Linked DNA regions of Drosophila melanogaster. The protein of the gene in region 1 interacts with the protein of each later gene in a pairwise test. Each region holds a gene or a part of one and is shown in the gene's direction. Other genes may lie near its edges.

The links. The genes of interacting proteins can lie anywhere in the genome.
Region 2: the proteins of Arl6IP1 (region 1) and moon interact in a two-hybrid assay, tested with the Drosophila melanogaster proteins (one large-scale study listed by BioGRID).
Region 3: the proteins of Arl6IP1 (region 1) and CG6576 interact in a two-hybrid assay, tested with the Drosophila melanogaster proteins (one large-scale study listed by BioGRID).

The regions. Positions count from the first base shown.
Region 1 is NT_033777.3:16,641,853-16,646,221, forward strand, and holds Arl6IP1 (ADP-ribosylation factor-like 6 interacting protein 1), read left to right. Parts: upstream 1-1,752; 5' UTR 1,753-2,032; coding exon 2,033-2,056; intron 2,057-2,165; coding exon 2,166-2,531; intron 2,532-2,695; coding exon 2,696-2,899; 3' UTR 2,900-3,319; downstream 3,320-4,369. Other genes in the region: nonA-l (nonA-like), read left to right, coding at 1-368; CG10324 (uncharacterized protein), read right to left, coding at 3,322-4,094, 4,168-4,369.
Region 2 is NC_004354.4:12,071,303-12,075,096, reverse strand, and holds moon (moonshiner), read left to right. Parts: upstream 1-2,278; 5' UTR 2,279-2,366; coding exon 2,367-2,885; 3' UTR 2,886-3,089; downstream 3,090-3,794.
Region 3 is NT_037436.4:8,753,734-8,757,872, forward strand, and holds CG6576 (uncharacterized protein), read left to right. Parts: upstream 1-2,255; 5' UTR 2,256-2,449; coding exon 2,450-3,253; 3' UTR 3,254-3,434; downstream 3,435-4,139. Other genes in the region: Fhos (formin homology 2 domain containing), read left to right, coding at 742-762.

The DNA.
Region 1 (4,369 bases):
AGCGCGAGCTGGACAACGAGCGCATGAAACTGGAGTGGGAGATGCGTGAGAAACAAGCCGAGGAGATTCGAAAGCGGGAAGAGGAATACATGCATCGTTATCAAAACCAATTACTTCGCCATGAGGAGGATATGCGAGCCCGTCAGCAGGAGAACGATTTGCTAATGCAGGCCAAGAAACTCAACATGATCCTCGATCAGCAGGAGGGATTCGGAGGCAGCAACTCTGGATTCGAACACTTTGATTCCCCTTTTGAAGTATTTGGGAACAACAGCAACAATTCAACAATGGCTGGACCTGGAGGTCCAGATAATAGCGACGGAAACCAACACGGACACATTGATTCATGGGGACACCGACGCTTCTAGACACTGAAACCTATATAGATAGCGACGAAAACAATAGTGATCTCATTAGTTACGCATAATATCGGACATTTCGCTCGGCTATGCGTGAACAATAACATAAATAACAAATGGGATCATGCAAGCGAAGATGCATTCATCTCATTATAATATAAATTGAATTTATATAATTAACCAAAAACTGTTAAAAACGGTCTCAACAACAAATCCACCACGAAATATTAACACAAAAATGACAAAATCCAAACACGAATGGCAACTTACAAGATGTGCAGTATTTCGAAGAAAAACACCTGAACATAACCATCCATCATCCATTAGATATATGTAGAGACTACCTCCTAACACGATTAATTTTTGTCTATCATTCAAATTAAATATTGAATGCGACTGAAATTACTGATTATTTGGAGTCGAATATAGATAAAGAGCCTAATTTTTATAATCGTAGATTATACTTTGATTTATGAGTAAATAATCGAAATCGGACTTGCTTTTATTTCAATGTATTTCTCATCCCATCTCTGTCTACTTTTAATAAAAACGGCTCTAACCTAAGGTTTCACTGGGAATTTATGTTGGTAATAAATGTGTTAAAGCGGAAAAGTCGGAAAATGCCATCAGCTCTATTGGGAAATCCGGCAATAAGTTGCAAGGCTGTCCGAAAGGACACATTTCCGCCGGTATCTTCAGTCCCACGACGCTGTCCATATATTAGGTCAAAATGCAATCACTTGTTTAAACAAAAGAATTTATTTGATCAACAGAATGAACTATTGTATGAACCCTCCTCCCATTCACCCAACAATTACACAATTGTATTGTACCGAAGCAATCAAAGATTTCAGTTCAATTACCCGTGGTATAACCATCAATTTGAATTTCCTCGAGATGGAAACAGATGGAAACTCTTCATTTTGTCCAAACGTATATATGTATATATATATATTTTTTTGTAGCTTCGTTAAAGTTCATGATAGTTAAGTACAAATTTCTTTTGAAGTAAATTTTTAGCAATAAACTAAAGCTATTCCGTGCCATTGATATAAGAATTTAAGATCTATATTTACAACATTTTATCTGCATATAATACAAGATGTGGTGGCTTTGAGTTCATTATCTAAGTAAGCCGCTGTTGATTTGCTTGATTAACTAGCAAAAGCCAAAATGATGCTTTGCTTTCCATTTTTGTAGTTTCGAATTGAATAGTACGGCAATTTAATTTTTGATTTATGTATTTATTTTATTAAGCCATTTATGGGCTTTTAGTTCTGCTTATAAAAATCATGATATAGTAAATCAATATTTTATGATAGGATGCTGTCAAGATTTTAAACAAAAATGTAAGCCCAAATGTCAGGTGGCATTAGAATTTAGCATCAGATTTTAGCCAAATCAATACAAGATTTTTAATACAAACTTTTAAAACAGAGTTGTAAAGGGAAAAATTCGATAAGTTCCGATTGAAAGTGCAATCGCTGTTTGAGTGAAACAACCCCTGAATCAGTCATTTCAAAACGTCGATCAACGGTCACACTGCGACTTTGGCGACTTAAAAAACACCCAAGAAAATTGATTTTTCGCTCAAACCGAAAGCAACACCTTTGGGCATCAAATAGATTTCTCGGAATTGAACGCGCACCGCTAGGAAACAAAGAAAAGCCAGCATGGCAGCATCGCAGGTTGACCAGGTGAGCGAAGGGTGGAACTGCCGAAAGCTTTCCGGCCGGAAAACGGCGTCGCCATTGAAGCCCCATTAGTTAATATCATAATGATTCCTCATTTTCCGGCATTTTCCAGAAACGAGCACTTAACAAATTAAAGCACGACTTGGAGCCTTTCCGGACAGCCATCGTGGGAGCGTACGGCGTGCTAACCTGGGAGAAGCAGTACTACGCCGGAGTGGTGTTTGGCGTCATCAGCTGCCTGTACCTGGTGCTGTGGTACCTGGACTTGTCGCTGATTACCCTGCTGTCGCTGCTCGGTGTCATTAGCATTTTGCTGAACTACGCATTCCCCATGGTGTCGCGCCTGATCTTTGGCGGAGTCAACTGGGATGGCGACCAGGAGGCCAAGTTCGAGGACGTGTGCGGCCAGGTGTGCGCCGTCAAGGGCAGCCTGGTGGTCTGGTACGAGTACCTCTTCAACGAGCGGAAGTCCACAGTGGTGAGTAGATGCGGTAGAGACCGTGTGTGTATATGTATATGAAAACAGAGAAGCAGTTTCAGGGCCTAGTATGTGCAGTAGATCTTCTTCTGCAAGCTCAAGTGTAAATAAAAACTTCGGGTTCTATTATTATTTCATCTCACATTTATTCGTTTTGATTCCAGTTTGTAATCGTCATGAGTTTGGGTCTTTTGGCTATGGCCTGGATTGGAGCCATCATTAACAATCTACTGCTTATGTACTTGGCCACCCTACTCATCCTCATGTGGCCAGGACTACAGAACAAGGACATTTTTAAGGCCATCACCCAAAGGGCCTCGAAGATTATTAACGAGAAGATCCAGTGCGGCAAAAGGAAGCTGCAGTAAAGGAAAGCAACCAGATAAACTCATCACCATTTGACCAAAAATATAAAACATGCCTAAGTCATCTACTTGCCATTATGCACACATCGCATCACTAAATCACACATTAGGCGCATTGAATTTGAAACTATAAATATCTTAAAAGATAAGAGCAGCGCATACAGAAAAAAAAAACTCGGAAAACTAGCAAATCCGTGGTTCTGGCCCCATCACATCTCCTACTATAAGTTTGTAACATGTAAGACAGAAGTATTCTCGAAACGAGGCGTACGGAGAGAGAAAAAAACGCGCAACAAAAGACAAGGCATTTTTGTGATTATTTTGTGAGTTAATTGAAATTTATGATAATCCCAAGTAAGATAAAAAAAGGAACTTAAGCGTCTAATGAACTATATTTAAATAAAGATTTCAACTAAATAGATCAATCACTGACGGTCTCTTGACCTTGATCGCGTGCGGGACCTGACATGCTTGCTCCTCTTGGTCTTCTTTTTGTGCTTGCTGTGGTGACGACGATGGTTTTCACCGAGGCTGTCATCGCTCTCTAAGCTGGAGTCGTTGTCCGCCTTTCTCGACTTGTTCTTGGACTTCTTTGAGTGTTTTCTTGACTTGTGGCTGGATGATTTCTTCTTGTGCTTCCTGCGTTCATATGCAGAGTCGGAGTCGCTCTCGGTGGACTCTCCCGTATCGTCTGCCTCGTCTGAACTACTCTTTGTTCTTCTGGTGCTTCGGGGACTTTGCGAACGCTTTTGGTCACGGTCTTCCCGCTTCGACTTAGATGGGCTTCTGCCTCTGGGACTCGGCGAACGACGACGCTCACGTTCCTCGCGTTTAGATACAGAGGAGCTACCACTCCGCACATACTTCTTTTCTCGATCCACCTCCTCTTTGTTAGATTTGGCTTCCTTGTACGATTTTCGCTCGTCTTTGTACGTCCTGCGATGTTCGTCTTTGTACGTTTTTTTGTCTTCATATTTGTAAGACCTTTTATCTTCTTCCTTGCATTTCATGCGATAGTCTTCTTTACTAGATCTCTGGTCCCCTGGCTTCGAACTCTTTTGATTTTGAGCTTCATCCCGGTCTGATCTAATTTCTTCCCTGCGGTCTCTGTCCCTTCTTCCTGACGGATTTTCCTGCTTCACAATAATCTGGCCATGCTCGTTTTCATTTTTTTTGAATTCTTCGTATTTGGCAGTGTCTGAAAGTAAATGTAAAAGAAATATAAAAATGTCACAAATATAAAGGATTTGCATTTTCCAGGCTCCACTTACTTATGCACTTGCCATACTGAGAGTACTCCTTGCGGGATACGGGCTGACAAAGGAACTCGTTGAACGCCTCTTTGGCCCCTCCAATTGCCATTTTGACAATTACTCGCCCTGCATGGTCATCAAAACCTTGGATTTGGCCATACTGATCCTTCTGCTTTCCGCCCAGAATGCGCACGTACGCCTGCTTCTTAATCTCCAGTAC
Region 2 (3,794 bases), on another chromosome or scaffold:
GTATAAACTGCATTTTCAAGCCAAACTACTCACGGCCCAAATCAGCCGCATAATCAGCGCTATCGCCATCATCATCGGCACTATCATTATCATTATCATTATCATCATTGTTCCTTGTCGCGTCGTTGGGGATCGAAGGTTGTCGTTTGCTATTGGGGGGGTTACACGGGTTATTGAGGGTTACAAGGAGGTTACAAGGTGGTTACAGAGGGAGGAGGTTCATAGTAGGGAGCCAGCCAACGACAGACAGAGTCATTTATAAAATTTCCACCCGAACGTGTTAAATGGCGTCAATATTAAAAGTTCAAATATGACGCTGACGATGACGACGCTTGGGGAAAATGGGCAAGGGAAAATGGTTATGTGCGGGTGCATGGACGGTGACTTTAGGGGTTCGCGGGTCTAGGGCGTGATAAAATCGTAGGTTTGGCCAGGCAGGCAGACTAACATATATAGACGGCAAACGAATCAACAAACGTTGAAGCTATTATCGTTGTCGCAACATCGCACAACTACAGATACAACTGCGGCGTAACATGCATGGGTGTCTCTGGTCTAAGATAAAGGGGGTTCGTAACTGAAGTCTAGAAAGGGATATTTGCACTTTTAGAAAATAATAGCTACAAATCAAAGTCTTGAAAGTTCAAAAGCAGGCAATCATCTTGTTTTAAAGAGTATCCTGGTACCTTTATGTCTTGTCTTAAATGTAGTACTTAAATATACGAGTTTAGATCCCTTCTGCGAATGCCACTGCATACACACACACATATGGCATATGGTCCTTGTTGCTATTGCTCTTGCTGCTGCTCATCATCATCTTTTGGCGTTAGCAAGTGCTTGGCGGCAACTTCTAATGGCGGCATTATGCCCGCCAAACTCCACCCCCCTCCCCAAGCCTTATTCTGCTCATGAGTGTGTGTGTGTGTTTGTGTGTGTGTGTGTGCGCCCTGCGCAAAATGAAAATGAAACTGTTGCAAAATCCCATAAAACGGCCAAAAAGCTTTTGTAAATGACGCCAACAGCTGTCGATGGCAAAGCAGACAACGTCGCCGTCCGCCCAATTTGCCAAAGCACCCACCCACTCACTCATGAAGCCCCAAACACCCCCCCACCCCTTCGGAAACACCCCCTTCGTTGTACCACGATTGACATCTATGTGTGGGTGCACCGCTAAAAAATACTTCTATTTGAAATGATCGCTTTGTCTTAAGGTTTTTAAAACATTATAACATAGCATAGTAATACATAGTAATACTGAACTTGCCACAATAGAAACATTTGTATTCGATTTCAGATTATGTAACGCATATGTGAAATAATTTATTAGACTTAAATTGTTTTCAATACCAAATTGTTTTCACTGCTTAATTGTGTGTTAGAAATGGGGGTTAGATGGCGCTGCTAGTGGTGAGTGGGGCATCGTGAAGGTTTTTGGCGCGTTTTAATAAAGCGACAATGACATTTTATGAATTTTCCACTTTGTTCTCGGTCCACGCCCACAATACGCCAACCCAACACCCCCTAACCCGCCGATGACACCACGATGCCAGCCCCTTTGTGCTGTTTTCATTATTTGTTTGTTTGCCGAGAACCACAGACTGGCGGCCGGTTGGAATCCAGGACTCCAGGACTCCAGGACTGTAGGACTCCAAGACCAGGACTTCCAAAACTCCAAATGAATTGACATTGTCTGTGTATTCGACGGCTGGTTCAGTGTGTGTGTGTGCCGTGGGTTGGAGGGGGCAAGCCCCCGTGTGTGTTAGTGGGTGCTGGTGCCTGGGTGTTGCACAAAGGCGTGTCCCAGTGTGCCTTTTGATATCGGATTTCATTTATAATTAGCTGCAAAGTTAACGGTTGCCAGCCATACCTTGACTTGTGGTTGGTGGTGGCCCCGGTCAAGTAATTTGCTTGTCAGTTGGGTTCCCGGGGTTACTTGGCTCACCAGATGGATGGCAAGGCTGCCATGGGGCTGCACTGCAGGTGGTGGAAGCTGTCCAACGGCCAGGAAGATGTCGTAGTTTAAGTTAAAAGAATCTTTAAGCAAGGCTTTTTTTCCAATATTCTAGCCCCTTTCGATTGCAAGATAACTTAAAATTTAAATTATATTACCATTTATAAATGCACATGAGTAAAATTGTTATTATTATTATTGTTATATATAAATATATATCTATATAAATTTATTTAATAGCTTATAACATCGTTATCAGTGTGAACATTCTATAATCCTCCCATGCATTGCGGTAAGTCGATGATCAATTGTATCGATCGATAGCAAGCTTAATCTATCGGCGTAAGCAGCGTAGCTCTCATAAAACAATAACATTGAGAACCAGTCATTTCAACCACATTGCTTTGGCTTTGCCATGGCCAAGATATTGCCCACCGATGGCATCTGGATACCGGAGTCGTGCAGCTTTCCGGAGGATGTGATGATCGATATGATGGAGGGACTATTCCGCGATGTGCCAAACCTAACGCACAAGGAGTACCTGGCGCTGGCCGACCTGCAATCTAGATGGATGGCGAAGCTGGCCAACCGACAGCCGGAATCGAATCCCCTGCCGCCAAAGCCAAAGAAGCGTAAGAAAATCGCTCCAAAGAAGCAGGACCAGCCTGTCGAGGAGAAGGGCAGCGAAGTCGACATCTACGATGTGGACGACAACGAGATGGTCAACAATCGCATCTACATTCCGCGACTGCGTTCCGCTTGGAGAGCTCGCTATTTCAACATTATGATGCGCGCCTTTGTCATCAAACGGGGACTATTGAATAAGCACATTAACTGGCAGATTCTCGACAAGATCATGGCAGCCCCCGACGCAGAGGGACAAGCCGAGCTTCAGGCGTTTGTTGACAAAGTGGTCGCAGGCCAGGAAATGTAGTCCTTACAGCCTCCTAGGATAAGCACCCAAACACATAGATATGTAAATTCAAAATATCAATTGTTTACTCAAATTAAAAATAACAATTGTATAATCAAATCAACCTTTGTAAAATCATACCAATTGAACATAAGCATAGGTGTGAAGCAAAACCAGAGCCAATAAACCATACGAATGCCATCGTCTTCTGTGGGCCAAATCAACAAACGTTTTCCCAATTTCCCCATGAACGGCTCGGTGCCACACACCGAAACATGGGAGAAGTTACAAAGTAAATTCCACGCCCGGTTGCCAAGTGGTAGTCCAAATTAACAGCTAATTACGTGCGAATGAGAGCTACCCGGTTGGGGGATGTGGTCCAAATGTACTGGCTGCGAGCAAAATGGAAAACGGGGCAGGTCACAACGAACACGTACTAGCAACTAAATGGAGAGAAAGCGAGACAGACACCGAGTCAAACAACATTTGAATACGAAATTGCCCTTGAAAAAAGGGTTGCCAGCAAAAAAAAAAAAAAAAAAAAAACAATCAAAAAAAGTACAAGATATTCCAAAAGTCCCTGCGAGGCGAGAACAAAAGTGACAAATTAGTCAGTGGGTGGGGGTGTCAGTGGGAGGCAGTCGACACTGAAAGCGTTAAAATTGAGATGGGGTGCGCCAAAAATATCCACTCGGAAAACGTTGAACTTACATATATAATGCAAGACAACTTGGTCGTTAGACCGGGTCTTTCTGTATTCTTTCTGGTCATTACAACATAATATTGTGGCGGTTGTCATAAGGAAACTTTCACAAATCTGCACACGTAGCTCGATCTCTTTTTGCATAATTACCAGCCAAGTCAAGAAACAATAGGTAGAGGTATAGTAAGTATACATTATCATTTTTCTTTCAAACTTCAAATTGTATA
Region 3 (4,139 bases), on another chromosome or scaffold:
TGCTAAATTTATAAATAACAGCTTAAGTTGTGCTGCTCCCAAAGTAAATTGAAATAAAAGCAAAAGTGATACGCGTCCGTCGTCGTGAAACGGAAAACGCAGGCGATGGAAAATGGGAAAATAGGAAAAAATAAGAAAAATAAGAAAAATATCAACGCATAAATAAAGCGCGAGCCTCGCGTCCGATTCTGTCGCATTCGCCGGCTGCATTCCCAAATAGATCGGGGCGCTATAGTCTATATCTGCTCGTATGCCCTATAGGCATCGACAGTATATATCCCAAACCTGCCCGGTGCGTGCCGGTGGATTATGTAAAGTGACACACGGCCGATCCCGATACCGATCTCGGAGTATCGCCCAGCGCAAATAAAAGCAAAGGAAATAATAGTTTACTTAGCAGAAAAGAAATAAATACAATAAAATAAAATTGAATAAAATAGGGGAATGCAGAGAGAGTGTCGTAGAAATTTGTCGCACGCGCGCGATTTCAGTAAGTGCATCTAATTTATTTTGCATCTATTGCAATTGAGAGTCGGCATCCGGCAGATACGTTTTCGTAATTGTCGTCAGCGGTTCGAGTTCCTCCGTTTCGATCTCGCGCGAGTGTTTGCCAGATTGGATTACCAAACCCAGGCCATACCAAAATAAATTATACACCAATTTTGAAAGGGCGATAAACATACATTGTGACCGAATTTTGATCCGATCTGCGATCGAGGATCGCTTGCCAAGAGCAACGTAATGTCGTCCTACCGCAGTTATGTAAGTACTAGTTAATGCAGCGCCAACTATCCGTATCTGTATCTGCATAATACCTACTCGTACTATATAGTGTGTATCTCGATCTTTGTATCTTCGCTCTGTGCCTTTTTGCAATTCTTCGCATCCACGGATTTTGTTTATTTCTAATTTGTTGCCTTACCCCACACACAAGAGTATTTCGCAGATACATACGTATACGTTTTATATGGCAGATAAAATGTATCTGAATGTTCGCTCTCGATGTGGTGTGGGCTCCAGATCCATTGATAAACAATTTAGATACAAATTTGCTCATTGTCTGGTTTTTTGGTTGGGATTTGTGTCTAGTTGATTGTTCTAATTTCCTATCCACACAAATAGCACAAATTATGGCCGAGGTGTGGCTACTGAATGAACGAATTGTTGTGTTTGAATAGCAAACCAATGCATGAATAAATGGCTTTTACTTTGGCAAAGCAGGTTAAGTTCCGAATTTTAAACCTATTTAACTTGATTTATGTTAGTATTTGCGTATATGCACAGTTGTCAAAGGAATTAATTTTGAGTTATTTGACATACTTTATGGCAGATTCATTATTGATACTGACCAATGACTGACAGTTCCCAAGTAAACATTTTGTGTTATTTATTGAACTTATCATCATATTTATTTATATTATTAACCCGTTCGACATCATGTGATACTTGTGAACTTTTATATAAAAAGTGCATTATTTCTATATCTATCCTATAATATAAATACACTTAATTTCGGTTGTCATTCCCAAACTTCCAAATCGCTTTCTACTAATCCCCTTTATGTTCAACTCATTATATCCTTTTGTTCCCAGGCATCCAGTTTATGACTTTAGCCTGACTTTTGACTCATTGAGCATAAATCAATTAAATATTTTTCGGGTCTTAGAATCTAATAAACTGATCAATTTATGGGCGGCAAACAACAAGTTTCCACCCCATCCCACGCACATCTACCACTTCATCTTCTCCCGAGTCATTTCTCCAATTATATATAGAATGTTTCTAAAAATGTTGGGAGTAAAGCAAAATGATTTCTGTTTCGTTCACGTTGACGCAGTCTCTTTTTTCCTCATTGGAGTTGGTACTTTGTGTAGGATTTTTATGGCCAGAAGGAAGTTGTAAATATTTATGACAAGCATAAAGTTGAAAGTTCTCCGGTGAGAGCACGCACCACCTAATTAATTAACAAAGTGTGAATACTCATGCAATTTGTTTGTGAGGGGAGAAAGTAGGGGAACGGTAATGGAGAAACAATAAAGTTGCAAATATAACTAAAGCTTTTAACTTCATATTCAAAAAAAATAAGTATATATTATCATATAACTAAATTTATATTCATAATGTATTAGCGAAAGCGGTAATGATTAAACATTGTTTCGATTATTGATTTCATTAGAAATATCTCTACTCGTCACACACAATGCGATCACAATCAGTTTTCATTTGAATTATTCATCAAAACAGATCAAAATTTGTTGTAGTGTAGCACAAAGGAAGGCGGTGATAGGCGCTTCTCAAATAGGCTTCGAGATAAGGATTTATGAATCAAGCTATCTGAGTCCGAGATTATCCACGCACACTCACCCGTCCACCCAACTGCCACCCAAGCCCCCCACAACACTCGAACACAGACACAAGTCAAGGACATTTTTTGATAAAAAGATAAAAAATGACACGGCGTCGACGTCCACGATGTAAGGTGAATCCCTCGATAGCGCTGAGAAAGAAGAAACAGGAGACTGCACCCAGTGCAGAAAAGGTAGAGCCACAACGTCCACCGCCCTTGCCGGATCCGCCCAGCGAAGAGCCACCGGAAGTCGTCAGCACTTCGAGCGTAGAATCTGAAATCGAATCGGATTACAAACTCTTCCCGGAACTCTACGATCGCCAGCCGTCGATGCCCACGTTTGCTGATCTTTTTGGTCAGCCCTCTTATGAATCAGTGTTGCAGGAGCCCGAGGTGGCATCTACCTCCTCCTCAACGAACACAAATGCCGCGGGAATACGTAGTACAGACGATGGGAAATTCACTAATATTCCGGCCACGATGCTGTCAGATCAATTTGGGATCATTGGGCTGCTGGCCGCCATGAGGACTACGCAAACGGATCCGGGCGCCACGCAGCTGGTCTTTGGTGAGGATCTAACCACCTACGGACTAGATTTGGCTGCCCAGGGAGACATTTATGTGCATTTCAATGGGCCTCTAACCCGCGAACCACCTGACAGAAATTCCATGGACTGCGCCCTTGAGATGGGAATGCGTGCCATGCGTGATTCGATTATCAATGAACCACCGAAGGCTCCGTGTTGGGATCCATTTGAGCCAGAGACCCAAGATCTGGGACTTGTGGGCAGTCTTGAACCGGATGAGTTTACGAAATCCGATCCAGATACGGAAACGGATCCACCGCCAACTACTGATTTGACTGAAGATCCGGAAACGGATCGAGATGATAATCAGTATAGATAACACATTTGGAATCGGCGCCAAGGATAAAAAAGAAAGACTAGTCCCAAATAGAATAGCAATTTGGCAGTTGGTTAGATCTTTGAATACTTGGTAAAATTGTTGATCTTCGTGAATTGGTAGCCCTTCTGTATAAGAACTTGTTTGGCTTTAAATATAGAATTGGCTGAGGAGTAAAAACGGGAATAATTATTTGTTACGAAAAAAAGTGCGATTTAGTTATTTAAAATAAGGTTCGATTTAGTACATATATGTAAATATCGAAAAAAATTAATAAACATTCGGAAAATATCGAAAATGAATAAGCTCGGAATTGATTATAACTCATAAATTGGTTATAATCACTATAATTTTCAGATTAACTAATTTAATTTGTTTGGAAATTTATGTTTGAACGACTTTCTGGGGTTGAATATTTCATTATCCTTTTAAGCGCCGATCTCCACATAGTTGAGTTTCCCGAAACGCATTTTCGACACTTTCGTCAGAGCAAACTACAATAGAAAACGTATTTAAAAATAAATCATTTGTCTGGCAAGCGAATATTCAGTCGCCACTTCGAATCATCTGGGGTCACAGTCTAAATACTTTGTGAGTGGATGGCTTTCCTGGTCGTTCTTAATGGGCTGTGGCTACTGACAGACAGGCGCATTATAGCGCATCCTGCTCCTGATCTGCAGACTCCGAGATTCTGCAATCTCCTAATTGAGACCGCATAATAATGCTGTCAGAAGTGCAGCACTCCGCTGGAATCGGCGGTGAACAAAGTACACATGGCGAAGTCATTCCAGAGAAGATCCATAGGCCCATCCACATCCACACCATCACGATCCTCCACTCTTTTTCTCCTCCGGCTGAGTGTCTCCGTTTGCTTGTTTTGCACATTGTT